Linked DNA regions of Tamandua tetradactyla. The protein of the gene in region 2 purifies or fractionates together with the protein of the main gene of each other region. This does not show direct contact. Links are inferred from orthologs where the notes say so. Each region holds a gene or a part of one and is shown on either strand. Other genes may lie near its edges.

What was found. Proteins that work in one complex are often made in the same cells at the same time.
Region 1: the proteins of OS9 (region 2) and SERPINA1 purify together in Homo sapiens (affinity purification with western blotting; 4 studies listed by BioGRID). This does not show direct contact. The link is inferred for Tamandua tetradactyla from reciprocal best matches to the Homo sapiens genes OS9 and SERPINA1.

The regions. Positions count from the first base shown.
Region 1 is NC_135338.1:55,474,230-55,482,026, reverse strand, and holds the start of SERPINA1 (alpha-1-antitrypsin), read left to right. Parts: upstream 1-4,541; 5' UTR 4,542-4,659; intron 4,660-7,797.
Region 2 is NC_135333.1:125,000,369-125,008,321, reverse strand, and holds the start of OS9 (protein OS-9), read right to left. Parts: upstream 3,134-7,953; 5' UTR 3,079-3,133; coding exon 2,917-3,078; intron 2,496-2,916; coding exon 2,319-2,495; intron 1,465-2,318; coding exon 1,401-1,464; intron 1,293-1,400; coding exon 1,216-1,292; intron 982-1,215; coding exon 883-981; intron 1-882. UniProt on the Homo sapiens protein: Lectin component of the HRD1 complex, which functions in endoplasmic reticulum (ER) quality control and ER-associated degradation (ERAD).

The DNA of each region.
Region 1 (7,797 bases), on a different chromosome or scaffold from region 2:
TATAAATGCATGTTTTAGTCCTTCTATCAGCTGTGTTGTCACTCACCAATGCATAGATATGCTTTATTTCCTTCTCTATCTGATTAGGACAAGGAATGAAAACAAGGCACTGTGAACAATCCACACAGAGCTGGAGAGAGCAAGAATCACATGCAGGAAGCAGAGCCAGAGGTTGCACACACAGGGAAGAAGGCTCCAGCAGGGCGTGGCAAATTGGTGGATTCACAAGTATGCCCAGAGTAAGTGAAATAATTGTGCAAACTCAATTCACCTCCAGAAGATAAAATCTTGAAACATCAGGTTAATCCTGTTAATTAAAACAATTTATGAGAAGACAAACACAAGTGCTGTTTGTGTTAACAAGCAGGCCCTGCATTAAACACCCTCATTTAAACCTCACAACGGTCATGTGAGAAAGGGATTATCATCCCACTTTATAGATGAGGAGACCGAGGTTTAGAGATGTAAAGTGAAGCCTTCCCCTGGATCCAAGTCTGCCTGCCTCTGATTGCTTTGGCATCTCACAGGTGCTCTGAAAGATGCTTCTGACCTTGTACCTCCAAGAAGCAAAATGAGGGCAGGCCCTCAGGAGAGGGGATTGGAGGCATTTTCAGATAAGCAGAGACCTGAATCTGAGAATAGTGCTACTCACCAAGCCTAGAACCCAGGACCTATCTAAAAGGTTTTCCAGCCCAGCTCCCCAAAGATGATGGAGGTGGGTGGGCATTGCCTTGCAGTCTGGCATGTGCCTGAGGCTGCCCTAAGCACTTGATGCATTGTCTCATTTACTCTTCACAATCTTGGTGGAAGGCACTATTCTTATCCCTATTTTACAGATAAAGAAACTGAGGCATAGAGACGTTAAGTGGCTTGTCTACAATCACACAAAAAGAGTAGAGTTAAGGTTTGGACCAGATAGCTTAGCCTCTGAGCCCGTGATTTAATCACTGATTTATAATGCCCCCCAAGAGAAGGGAGCAGTGCTGGAGCAGGGAGGGGAAAGTCTGAGAGTGGGGATGTCTGGTGTGTGTGTAGGGGGGAGGAGGGCAGCACAGGCTGGTTCCTACACTCTCTTACCAAGGGGTTCAGCAGCCCTGAAATCCAGCCAGGGGACCTCTGGTCTTTGATCAACTTGGCCCAGGGCCCTTCTCCAGCATACCCCACACCTCACCCACAACTTGTTGCAGACCCCAGCCTCAGCTCTCATGCCTCTCCCCATCCCACATGCCGGACTCCCATTCTTGGGCCCTATGGAGAGGTAAGATCTCCCCAGATGCCCCTTATTTACAACCAGCCAAGATATGCATTCACTCCAGGGAACAGCCCAGAGGCTAATAGACAATTCCAGAAGTAACCAAGTGGATACAATTTTCCCCACCATGGTCTGTGGTTCGTGGGCACAGTGCCCTCAAGAATGGCCACTGGGTGCCCCCTAGGCATTCTGTCCTTGCTCATTTTCCCAGACACCCCACCCCTTCTCTCAGGAGTATGCCCAGAGTAGTTCTCTGCAGCATCAAAGGTGATAGGAAGATGCCAAGAGGAAAGTGTGGGAGTTTAAAGATAGACAGATAAGGAAGGGTGGGACATGGAGTCCTTGACCCAAAAGTCTCAGGGAGGACCTGCACCCCAGGACTGGCCTGAGAGGTCTGCCCAGCAGAGAGATCTGCTGGATCCCTCCTGCATCCAGCCAGGATCTGGGACATACCTTCTCCCAGCCTCCAAGGGCCCCCTTTGGGCATTTCAGAGATGGCTCATCCTCTTCCTTCTGCAGCTGGCCCTGGGCACCAGCAGAGATTCCATATGCCCAAGCCTAGGCAAGTAGGGTCACGCCTGCCATCTCCATTAATCATGAGCTGGGTGCCATCCCTCTCACAGAGGCCAGGGGAACTGATGACTAGTTCTGGGCCACACAGCCCTGGGACAGGGCAGGACAGCTGGTGACACACAGAGCTACCTGGGCTGGAAAGGCATGGCATGGCATCTGCCTGACAAGCTAGCGGCTTTGTGTAAGGCCACTTCCTGCCCCAGTGCCCCCACCCCTCCAGATCTGTTGCCACTGCCAGGAGCCTCAGTCCTCCTGGGGAGGCAGAGATTGCACAGCACTCAGGGTGCCCACAGCCTCCCCGCAGCAGCCCAGGAGCCCAGGAGCATTGTTGGAGGAGGAGGAAGTGGAGGAGTTGGCCTGCCCAGCAGGCGTGGCGGCCACGGCAGCCCTGCAGCACCCAGAACTCAAGGTAGAGGGGCAGGTGCCCAGGCCACTGGCCAAGGAGACAGAGTTGGGGAATGCGGGAAGGTGGGCTTCCTTCCAGAGAGCATTGCTCACCCTGGGTGAGAGATAAGAGGGGCAGCTGGGCTGTGGGGCTTTTGTACAGATAGGGAACTGAGGCCCAGGGAGGGAAAGGAACTTGCCCAGGAGCATGGAGGACAGGCCCAGCTGTCTAGACTGTGAGCAGATGTAGAGTCCTGGAGAAAATGCCCACTTGTCAGCTCAGGAGAAAAAGCAGGGGCCTTAAAGGCAGAGGATGGAGCTGTGGGCCTAAAGGGGGAGTGGGGCAGAGAGGGGAACCTCGCCTTTCTGAGCCTCTGTTTCCCACTCCTATTAGAAAGGCAGTATACAAACTCAGCCCACAGGCTTCCTGTGAGTAAATGAAAGAATGCCTTGCCCCAGGGACCAACTGCCTAGAGGAAGCTCCTAGAACATACCCTTTCCTCACCCACCCCAAGGCCTTCCCTAATCATGGTCAGCAAGGGCTGTGGCCAGGACCTCAGGGAGACCCACTAATGCAGAGGAGGGATGGCAGGCTGAGCTGTGCACACCCAACTCTGGACTAATCTTGGGTTGCTGCATTTAGTCCTCACAACACCAAAATGGGATAGGAACCCACTTTACAGACAGAGAAACTGAGGCACAGGAAGGTTAAAGAATTTTCCTGAAGATTTCACCACTAGCGAGACACACCTAGCCCCCGAGTCCCTGTTCTGAACCTGGGTGTAAAGGAACCAGCAGGTCACTCATCTGGCAGAGCCCCAAAGTAGAAGCAAAACTGGGACTGGGTCCATGAGAGAAGGGGCTAAACTCATTTACTCACACACTCAGCAAATACCTTCTGAGTATAGCCCAGGTGCCAAGCAGGCACCAGACCCTGGGGTATGAGTGGGCAAAGCAAACAGAAGGTCCTACGTGAGGCATACAGTGTGGTCATCAGAGAGGCAGCAGAAGAAAGAAGGGACAAAGGGGGTGGGAGGGTTGATGCTGGTTCATTTAGGGCAAGGCCACGGAAAGCCTCTCTGGTTGGGGGGAGCTTGGGGAGAGGCCTGAATGGAGTGAGGGAACAGTGTTTCTGGCAGCAGGAACAGCTAGCCTCCCTGAGACTGGAGTAGGCCCACTAGATTCCAGGGAGAAAAGGTCAGTGAAACTGGAGCAGAATAATCACTGGAGTCCATGAAAAGAGGACCCAGCAGGGGGTTTGTGGGCCACTGTAGGGACTTTGATTTTGTCTCTGAGCCAGAGGGAGCCACGGATTGGGATGGAGGTGGCACAGGGGGTATGTGAATTTACTTAGGATTTTAAAGGGATCACAATCAAGAGGAGCTGGGCAGGGCTGGAGCCTACTGACCTCTGCCCTAGCACACCACCCCCAACCACCATCAGAGTCCCCAAGGCGACGGCCTGCACCTGTGGCCTGGACCACTTTCCTGAGGACAGGGCAAGCAGTGGATGTGTTGCACCCGCCGGCTGGGAGCTGAGCCTCCTTCTGTGACAGCAGCCCGGAAGCAGCGCTGAACAGAGGAAACAAGAGAAAGGACCTACTGCGGGTCAGGTATTTTAAACAAATTACCTTGTGCAGCACTGACAAGGATGCTAGGAGGGGAAACTTCCAACAACTATGAGGCAGAGAGAAACACCTCCTGGTTCAGAGAAGTGAAGCCGTCTGCCTGAGGCCACACAGCTCTTTAGTGGCAGATACAGGCAAGATTTGACCTAGAATGGCCTCAGCCAAAGCCAGACTCTCTTTACAAGTTCATACTCTGGTCCCCACCTGGACCCTTGGAGACCCACACGAGCCTAAAGTGACCATGTCGGCCTCATCATTTCCCACCATCCCCTTGGCAAAGTCAAGAGGGATTTTACACCGGAGGCTGGTTTGGTGATTTTAGATCAGGGGCCTCTCCTTTCTGGGCCTCAGTTTCCCCCTCTGATAATAACCCACATTAGCCTCCCCAGGCAGAGCCTTCAAAATGACTCAGCAAATGGGGGCTCTCGCTCTTGGGAGGGTGAGGCAGCCCTGGAGGGCTCCTGAGCAGGCGCATAGAGCTGGCCACGTGGGGCTGGGCCCGGAGGTCTGACTCACCCCCGACACACACTCACCCCCAGCCTTAGATGCAAGACGCGGCGGTTTATGAGCCAGAAAAGCCGGCTCCCTTTGGCATTCGGGGCAGAGGGCCATGCCGAGAGCGGAAGGGCAGCCTGGGTGGGCGGCCTGCTGCCCATCATGGACTTAGTCCCTGTTTGCTCCTCCGATAACTGGGTGACCTTGGTTAATGTTCACTAGCAGCCTCCCCCATCGTCCCATCTGCATCCACTGCTTAAATACGGACGAGCGCAGGGGATCTGTCTCCTCAGCTTTGGTCACCAGCCCGGCTCTGGGACCGTGAATCGTGAGTATTCTTTTGCTGGGGAGAGCCTCCCAAGACCCTCCTGCTCTGTGTGGCCAGGCAGGCAGCTGGTCTGGGGCCGATGGGGGGTGGCCCCAGGAGACTCAGGCAAGATGGAGCCTGAACCCCTATTTCCTGTTGTCATAGCCACAGCAGCCCCAGGGTCCCCGCTTTCTGAGCCTGCCCAGGGGTTCCTGATTGAGTATATAGTCACAGCCTATATATTCCATAGGCAAGAAGTAGAAGACCCTCCATTCTGGGGGTGGGGGGAGGTGGGGGTTGGCATCTGGCTCCACAGTCCCCGGACCCCAGAAGACCCCAGGACACAGCAGCAGCAACAGTGAGGGTGGTGGGTCCTGTTTGCACTGGACCTGTATCTTCACGGCTTTCCTGTGGTCTGTGTCCTACAAGCTTCACAGGCCCTCCATGCTTGGGTGCGTGCCCTTTTCCCCTTCTACAGGTGAGGAAGGTAAGGCCCAGGGAGGGGCAGTGACCAGCCCAGGGTCACGTAGGGACCGCATCGGCCTCCAGCCTGTTCAGACGGAGTGGAACTGTGCAGGCCCTCAGCCTGGATGGGCCCCCACATGCGGTGGGGACAGGGAGCTGGGGGCTGGGGCCAGGCTGCCTGAGTTTGAATCCTGGAGGGTGTATGATTTGGGGCAAGCTGTTACCCTCTGTGCCCCCAATTTCCTCATCTGTAAAATGGGTATAACCATAGTAGCCATCTTGGACGGTTTTTGTGAGCTTCAATTCACCCATACGTGAAAAGGCTGAGATGTTGCCAGGGGTCCTAGCCCCAGACCCCAGCTCTGCCTACCAGGGTCTACTCTAGAGGTATTTCTCAGGCTCTGGCCAGAAACCCCAAATGCTGGGCTGGCCTCAAGGCCCTCTGTCGGATGCTCAGTAGTCTTCTTTGCAGCTAACATCTCTGTCCTCTTATACAAAATAGAGATAACCTTTGCCCTCCCTCCTTCCCTCTCATCCCACCTTACTCTCTGGAATGTTGGAAGGATTTGATTTTTCTATTATCAGTTTTTGGAGGTGAGGGCTCCAGGGATAACTAAAGCCAGAGGAGCTGGAGGCCCATTTGGCAACCTGGAAAGGTCCATGACAGCATCAGTAACCATAACTTGGGCTTCCTGAGAGCTTACCATGCACCAAACACTTCTCAAGACTTTGTGTATATTCAATCTGCACGTTTTGGCTCTGGGAGGGAAGGCCATGCTGATCATCACCAGGAAGGTTCAGAGAGGGTAAGTGACTTGTCCAAGTCACACAGCCAATGGCCATTAGAACTCAGGCAATCTGGCCTCAAAGCCTCTCCCCTTGGCTGCTAAGCCATGCTGGCCCTTTATATTTAGCCAGGCCATCTCTGAGGTTTTTTTCTGTTTGAAGACTCCTCACTTCAGCTTTGAACGAAGAGAATGCAAGGAATGGAGCAGGAATGCCTAATCTTATATCCAGTTTCTAAGCTCCTAGCTCCGTGGTTTTTAGTAACCTCCTGGTGTCTCCATTTCTCCAACTATAAAATAGGCTAATAATAATTCACCCTTCATGGGGTAAGCTCTGAGGGAAGATTAAATGGGACAGTGCCCATAAAACACCGGATGTTTAGTAAGTGCAATGCTGCTTCTGTTTGTTTAGCATAGGGCTCGGAGCTAATAAACCTTAAATTAACATGAAGAGTTGAATATACTGTTTGTTTACCAAATTCAGAGGTAACACCGCCTCACTCCTTTAACGCCCCTGGATAGAAATGGTGTGAGATCAGGCAGAAGGACAGCACACGCCATTCTCTCCTGCCTGCCCAGTCCTGCTCACACCTGCCCTGGATATTGGCAATAGCACCATTAGATTCTCACTGTTTGGTTTAAAGTGTGGACTCTGTGCTCACATACTTCTGATGACATCACCACCCAGTTCCTCTTCTCCAGTTAGGTTTCCCCAGCCTGGGCTTTGGGGTGTCCTCCCTCCCAGAGGGGGCTGGCCTTGATAAAAACGAGAGAATCGAATCGAGGCCTTGGGCTCCTTGGGTTGTAAGGAACAGATTCAGAAGCAAATGAACCAAAAAGGGGATGCTAGAGGCCAATGTCAGATCCTCCAGGGCCCAATTCTGATTTTCTGTGGGTCAAAGACCTGAAGACGCAGCTGCCTCAAATGGCGGCCAGAGTGGTGAGAAAACAAAGGGTGGTTCAGGATTTGTCCCTAACTTGCTGTGTGAGCCTGGCCAGGCCCTGCCCATCTCTGGGCCTCAGTCCTTCACTATGAAAGAAGGAAATTAGTGTGTAGGATGTAACACCCGGGAAGATTAGAGGTAGATACTCACTGCCTGCACCACTGGCTATAGTTGCCCCACACCAGTGTGCCCCTGAAAGGCCAGAAGCTCCTGGAGTGGGAGCGTACCTCACCCATGCCCCTCCCATGAAAATTCTCAGTCTCAGTTGTGCTCAATCAAACCCCGGATCTACCTTCAATAAAAATCTAATGTAATCAGGAGACCTCATTTTGGCCCATCCAGGCCCTCTAGCTCCAGTGAAGGAAAACAGGGCCCCAGGGACAAGGCAATGCCAGCCCAGGGCCAAGTGTACAGTAGTGGAAACACAGGGATCCCCGGCCTCTGACCTCAGACCACTCAGCACACCTAGTGTCCCCACCTTGCCTGTGCCCAAGTCCCATCCAGTCCCTGAGCCCTGCAAGGATGGGGAATTTCCAGACCTCCTAAGGACTCCCAAATCCAGTCAGGAAGTAAGGGAGACACCTGAGGGAGATGGAAATAAACAGAACTAATTTTAGCACTGGCCTTGGAGCTGAAACAACTGGCTAGTTTTAAGGAAAACATAAACATGTTTGCTCTATTTGGATTATTAGAAGCACAAAAGTCAGAAAAAAGGTGGTAAAGGGAAATAAGTTTAGTGATTCATTCTGTTGTTTTGGAGGGAAGAAACTTCTAAACGTCCAAGTGTGGACTTTTCTTTTTCCCAACTTTTCCCATCAGGAAAATTCGAGATCATATCCCAAATTCGAGAATAAATTTCTCTTTGCATTTTATGATGATTTTAGTTATGTGCACAATAGCTAGGTGTCCATTGGCAGGGTCTCCTCTTCTTTGACCTCAGTTTCTCTATCAGTGGTGAGAGTGGG
Region 2 (7,953 bases):
AGCCCAGCAGACGTCACCATGTGCCTTCCCATGAGATGCTAAGCCAGCCAGAACCCAGAGTTTTGCCCCAGAGGAGCTAAGTGAAGGCCCACTTAGAGAGGAAACCACTGGCATCAGAAGCTGGAAGCAACGGAACCAGGAACAAGGACCTGCAGATGCCAGCCATATGACATCCCATGTGACAGACATGAATCTTTCTTAAGTCAAGGTATCTTTCTCCGGATGCCTTAGTTTGGACATTTTTCATTTGGCCTTAGATCTGTAAACTTGTAACTTAAGAAATTCCCTTTTTAAAAGCCATTCCATTTCTGGTATATTGCATTCTGGCAGCATTAGCAAACTAAAACAGACACCTAGAAGGAGGATGAATGGACTTGTTTTTTTACTCAGAAAACTAGAGTGATTTACTTCATATCACTTCTGATTCTTTTTGTGACTCATTCCTGATTCTTTTGTTAACATCTGTCTTCCCTCTAGACTGTACATCCTATGATGGCAGTGGCTGCATCTGCTTGCTCAGCCCTGTACTCCCAGAGCCAAGCCCAGTATACATACAGCAAGAACTCACTGAAAACTCATGAAGTGAAGAAAAGAAAGATGATGTGAAGGAGAAGGAAGAGTCAAGGATGAGACTCAGGTCTCTAGCTAATATGACAGAAAGTAGAGATAAAGAAAAAAGAGTAATTGTGGCTGGGGGAGGGGGTGTTGGTACGAATGCGAGGTTTTGGGAAATGCTGACCTGAAGTGTCTCTGACGAACCAGGCAGTGATATTCAGCTAGCAGCTGGAAATAGGAGTCAAACTTTGGGTTTAGGGTCGGGGAGAAACCCTCTCAACTATAAGATGCAATGCTGCCCTTGTCCTAGAATGTGAATGGACTTACCCGAACTTCGGCCTCCCGGGGCCTCCCATTGAGGTCGCACTTGGACCCGTTTCCATAGGTCTGACTGTGGTAGCGTTTCAGGCGATGCTGCTTGGAGGCCTAGGGAGGATAGGGAGCAGGAAGGAGCAGGGGTGAGAGAGAGCAAGGAGGAAGAATGATCCTGCGCCCCCATAAGAACCTTAGAAATCTTAGGAATCCAGAACCCAGGAAACTTTGTCCTATTTGCCACCAAGCCCCAAGAAACATAGCAGCAAATCCTGACCCACCCCTTCTTGTCAGGGCTCTGAGTCTACACTAAGACCTCTTTCCCTCCCAATTCCATACTCCTGACACCTTGGCGGTTTCATCATCCCAGTCAAAGGCCGATTGGTAGTAGCCAAGATAGAGGACTTCACCTTTGATCTCTGAATCTGCAAAAGAAACCACAATGACGTACTGTTACTCTCTCTAAGAGGACTGGGGAGGCAAGTCACCTTCCATATGACATGCTGACAAGGGCTTAGGGAGAAAGTAGTCACCTTCCATGTGGTACTGCTGGATGTGGCGTCCATAACAGAATTCATATGTCCACCAGTCCTTGGTCTGACAATTAAAAAAATAACAGTCAGGGGAATGGAGTGGGGATGTACCTCCTGGGAACTAGAGTCTCTCCCAGCTCCAAGATATACAACCTCTCATCTACTCCTCATTGCCCTGTGCTTCCACACTCACTCTCTATACTCTCAGTGAGAGAGAGCTGTTTCCCTTCTGTGAGTCAGAAAGATGCATCTAAAGTCTGTTTTCTTCCTGTAGTCTTTCCCCTTTAGAGTTTTAAAAATCCTTCTTTGCCCTTCATAGAGGTAAGAATCCCGGTATCCTTTTATTACTCAGACCAGAAAACATACAACACCCCAACTTAAAATACTAATTTAGGTTCTATAAAGTTCCTTTCACTCTTCTAGACTCTAAGGATACAAAAAGGATACAGCTGTGAACAAGATAGTTCTCTGACCTCATGGAGCTTATACTTTAGTATGGGGAATCAGACCAGAAAAACAAACAAACAAACAAACAACTGATGATTCCATTAATATGATGAAAAGTACTATGATGAAAATAAACTAGGAGAGTCGTGCAGAGAATAATTGGCAGGGGGTGTCTCTGGCTAAGGTTTAGCAGGAAGACTTCTCCAAGCAGGAGACCCTCTACCACTTTCCCTCTTTTGGCTCCTTAATCTTGGCTTAACACTTATTCTAAGACTTTCTATCCTACTTCTCCTCTACGTTTGGCAGAGTGTCATAGTGGTTGCAGGATTCTTTGCTCTTTTCCTGTCTGTATTACATGTCTACTCCAACCGTCTTCCGAACTCCCCTAAACCCTTCATTCACCAGTACTCTAGCTCTCGGATAGGCTGCTAGTTCCCAAGTCCCCATTCCATGCATCCCAGGTTCTTTCACCTTCAGCAGGCAGGGAGCATCTTTCATCGGACTCAACAACACAGGGATTCCAGGTCCTTGGTAAGCAGGTGTCTCCTCTTCCCTTTCACGCTGGAAATGAATGGCTCCAGCTGGCAGGCGACACTCATAGCGCTGTTTGTACTTGGAGGAAACAATCACCACGTCCGAAGCCTGGCTCTGGGAGAGAAGGCGGGGGGGATGGGAGGTAGGGAGGCGAAGAGAGGCTGGGATCAGGGAGAACAACGAGATCCCTCTTCAGACCCTGGGGAAAGCCCAGTCGGAGAGAGCATGAGGCACAAGTCCTCCACCTGTGGGGGAGGGGAGAGGACACACCCACTTCTACGCGGGGGCGGAGTATGAGTGTCTCCATCAGGAACTGGAACCTGGCGGCTGACAGCGGGAAGCCCCACCCCTCCGGTCGCTGGCCCCACGGAATAAAGCTCAGTTTGCGATCCCCAAGAGTCACTATAAACCCTCTACCTATTCTTCCCGATTCTTCTTAGGCTCCTGCCCCAGATTCCGAAGCTGCCCCCTTTCCTCTACCTTGCCACTCTTCCTCTTCTGCCCCGGAATCTCCCCCACCTCTACGCCTCCTCACCTGCCCTCCCATGATAGGCAATGGCAGGATCTCGATCCCATAACGCATCTCACTCAGCTCCTCCAGGTTCAGACTCCCAACACTGCCGCTCAGACTTGCGGGTAGCATGAGACCTAGAAGCAGCAGCCCTAACATACTGGACAGCAGCGCTTCCGCCGCCATTTTTCCGTCCTCTTTCTCAGCCAGAGAAACTCCTTCCGCCCTAAACCTGGCAGAGGCCTCGCCCCGCCCATTAACTCTGCAAGGTCTCATTGGCTGTACGTTCTGTCCCTCTCACGTACCTTATTCCCATTTGTAAATGTGACTCCAAAGTCCCACGGGGGAGGGGTGATGATTAGCCACTATTAGCGAACCATTCTCTGTGTGTGATTGGCCAGGGAGACCAACCAATCATGAACGATATCAGAACCTCCTCCCACTCGCCCCTGGTTCCTAAGAACTGGGGTCCTTGGGCTGGGCCCTTTTAAGCAGTTTTCCTCTGTTCTAGCTCGGCTTCCTTTCACATCTCTTATTACATTTTTAGACATTTCTTGCATTGTACTGGGCTCCTGAGAGGCGGAATATTGAAGCCAAAGGGTGGGTGAGCGCGAGTTCCCTGGAAATTAATACTTGTTGGGCAACGAACAGTTGAAACATACCTCAGATATACATACAACTTGAGGGCGCTCTGGTAATGTGTCATAATCTTTTCACACGAAAAAAAGAATTGAAGCTCTGATACATGCAACGACATGCGTGACCCTTACAGACTTCATGTGGAGTGAAATAAGCCAGACAGAAAAAGGATAGATATTGTATGATCTCACTGATATGAAACAATTAGAATAAGCAAACTCATAGAGTGAGAAACTAGAATACAGGTTACAAGAGGCTGGGGTGGGAGTGGGGAATGGGGAGTTAATGCTTACTTGGTACAGAATTTCTATTTGGGGTAATGAAAAAGTCTTGGTAATGGATGTTGATGATGGTAGCACAACATTGTGAATGTAATTACCAGCACTGAATTATATGCTTGAATATGGTTAAAAGGGGGAAGTTTTAGTTTGTATATATTACTAGAATAAAAATTGAATTTAAGAAACCCATAGGACTGTACAACACAGTGAACCCTTTTGTAAACTATGGGCTATAGTTAACAGAACAATTATAATAATATTCTTTCATCAGTTGTAACAAAGGTACCATACTAACACAAAGTGTTGGGTTATATGAGAATTCTGTATTTTCTACATACTTTTTGTGTAAATGTGCAGCTTCTCTAATATATATATATATTTGGAAAACGCCTTTTACATGACCCTGCCAATACCCTCCAACAAAGTTATCCTAAAGAAACGATGGGGGCTTCCAGTCAAGGAGGAGAGGGAAGGGGGTGAATGTACATATTATCCCCCTAATCTATGAACCTACAAAGACAGAGAGAAAGGAAATAGAAGCAATGACAGCAACATTTTAGAACCTGGAAAGCAAATGGAGGTATGGTAGGTAACTTTTCACCTACCTGAGAAAGTTAATCCCTAAACAGCATGATTATACCTTTAGGCAGAAGATTGGAATGTGGAGAATTTGACTAGCCCAAGAAAAAAAGCACAAAAATACTCTCATCAGGGCACTCTCAATGAATTAGCCAAACTTTCAATTAAGTACTTGCCTATATACCAAGTCCCTCACATGGACTGTCCACAATCAGCTTTTTTTGTACTCATTCTTAGGCATAAGCAGACAACCAAGGATCATTAGGCATTTAAGAAAAACGTTTAATATGCAAGAAAGAAACCAAAACAATCAAAGAGAAGAAAACAAAGTAGAGGAAAGAGAGACTGCAAGGTGTGGAGGGTGGGTGGGGGATGACTAAAAAACAAAGCAAATGAATTAAAAATCATCACTAAATCCTGAGTAATAAGATAGTACAGCCATCTTTAGAAAGGCAAGATGTTATTTTAAAAGTGTTAAAAGAAAAACTGTTCATGGAATTTAGGATCTCCCAGCTTTATTGAGCAATACATGAATTGGGCAGCAACCCATACAGAAAGTAGAAGGGAGTTCCACTGAGAGAGTGAAAAGGATGAACTTATATGGGGCACGTGAGAAAATGTTCTCATTGGCTGATGTAAAGATTCAGTTTTACCGGGGTGGGGGGTATTACAAAGTGGGGAGCAGATATAAATTGATTAGCATGGTATTCTTGTCCCATCTAATAAGCTATCTCTCCTGGACCAAAGCTGGTTTATTAGAAGCTGTTGCTTATCTGCAGTTCTGTAGGGTACATTCCATTGTTCCAACTTCCTGGAAAGCCCCTGCAAGTCCATTGTCTTTGTCTTCTAGAAAAGTCCTTCTCAGAAAGGGGTCCCTCTGGAAACCCCCAATGCAGGTGGCCATTTTATTTTACTTAACAAAAATGACTACCATTCAGATAAACAAAAAGACCTTTTGGAAATTAAAACCATGATAGCAGAGATAATAATTTAATAGAAAGGCTGGAAGATAAAGTTGAAGAAGAAAATTTGCTGCACTTTAGTAGAAAACTGATAAAAATTAGAAGACCAGTACAGGAAGTGGAACATCTAAATAGAGTTTTAGAAAGAGAGCAGAGAATCAGAAGGGAAGAAATAATCAAAAGAAATTACTTAAAAGTATTTCCCAGAACTGAAGAGCTAAGTTTCCAACTTGAAAGGGTACACAAATGTATCCAGCACAACAAATCAGACCCACATCAAGACACATCATTGTAAAATTTCAGAACACTGGAGACAGAAAAATTTCTAAAAGCTTCCAGAGAGAAAGAACAAGTTTCATACAAGAATCAGAATGGCATTAGGCTTATCAGCTCATCACCACTGGAAGCTAAAAGACAATGGAGAAAGAGTTTCAAAATTCCAAGGATAATTATTTTCAACATTGAATTCTATACTCAGCCAAATCATGATATAGTTGTGAATCCAGAATAAAGACTGTTTCAGATATGAAAAATATAAACACTCCATGTATTGTTTTTCAGAAAGATAGGAGAAGATGCATTCTGCCAAAACAAATCATTAAGTCAAAAAAGAGGAATGCATGGAATCCAAGAAACATGGGATTCACAATAGAGAGACAAAAAAGAATTCTTGGGGATGGTGAAGGGAGATCCAAAGCTGTATGGCAGGACTAGAAGTCAGTTTTCAAGACTGGAGCAGGTCAGAAGAGTTTGGGTGTAATTTCTTCAAAAAAATAAAATTAACAGAATATCTAGTGATGTGAGCATATTGAGAAAAAAATGCATAACCAGAGGAGAGTTTGGGATAAGGGATAAGTGTGTAGAAAGCAAAGGAAAGAAAAATGGCAATTACTAATTCTGAGGAAAATTAAAACTTGTCCTGCAAAAGCTAAGCATACTTCTGTTTCCTCCAATATTTTGGTTTACATATTTAATTAATTCTTTTACTAAAAACACCTAAAAATGCTGGGTAAATGGAAATATCTTCTTAAAAATGTAGTAGACGAGATACGATGAGGCTAGAGAATGGGAAGTGTTGCTTAAGATGTGAAGATTTTTTTAAGTAGGTTGAATTTAAATGAGTGGAAATGGATAGAGGTGATGGTAGCACCTTATTGTGCGTATAATTAACAGTGATGAATTGTGTGTGAATGTGGTTGGTAGAGGAAGTTTAGAGTTATTTATGTCAACAGAAGGAAAGCCAGAGGTTGAAATATGGGAATGTATAATTCAGTAAACCTTGTGGTGGATGATGACTGTGATTAACAAATATTAAAAATGTTCTCTGTGAACTAGAACAGATTTACAAAACTATTATAAGGAGTTAATGATAGAGTGGCATGTGGGAAAAATGCATCTACTGAAAACTATGGACTATGGTTAACAATAATATCTTCTTTTTTTTCCAAAGAGAGAAACTTGTATTTCCAATGACCAGGTTAGAATTTCACACACAATGTTAATTTTTTAAATTTAATTTTATTTATTTAATTTTAATTTAATTTAATTTTTAAAAAATATAACAACAAACACATTCTTAACATATGATCATTCCGTTCTAAAATAATCAGTAATTCACATCATCACATAGTTGCATATTCATCATCATGATCATTTCTTAGAACATTTGCATTAGTTCAGAAAAAGAAATAAAAAGACAACAGAAAAAAGTTCATACATACCATACCCCTTACCCCACCTTTCATTGATCACTAACATTTCAATCTACTAAATTTATTTTAACATTTGTTCCCCCTATTATTTATTTTTCTTCCATATGTTTTACTCGTCTGTCGATAAGGTAGATAAAAGGAGCATCAGACACAAGGTTTTCACAATCACACAGTCACATTGTCAAAGCTATATCATTATACAATCATCCTCAAGAAACATGGCTACTGGAACACAGTGCTACATTTTCAGGCAGTTCCCTCCAGCCTCTCCACTACATCTTGACTAGCAAGGTGATCACAATGCTAATTTTAACGGTGATGACTACAACAGACACGTGGCTTCTATCAACTTCCACAGCAACCATTAAAACTGCAATAAACTTTTTTTCCTTTGGGATTGTTTGCACAAGATAGAGCCAATGACAGATTAAAGGGAATTCTTTGGCTAAAATGGTAATGAATGCTTTGTTAGTGTACCTCAAAGTCAACCTTTCAAAGGAAGGTACTTTTCTTTAGTGGGTGTTTTACACCTCACCTACCATATTTGGCTGCAACTCGTGAAATCTATGATCTATCAAATATACTATTGATTTAACTGTAATTATCCAATGTTATAACAGTAATATCTTAATATTTGTTTATCAACAGTAACAAATGTATCACACCATTAATAGGGATAAATGATGAGGGGAGAATAAAGGGTACAGGCTATTTTGGGTTTGCTCTTTCTTTTTTTCTTCCTGGAGTGATGAAAATGTTCTAAACTTGACTGTGGTGATGAACACACTACTATGATGATACTGCGAACCATCAATTGTATACTTTGGATGGATTGTATGATGTGTGAAAATATCTCAATAAAATTGCATTTGAAAAGCATGGTAGATT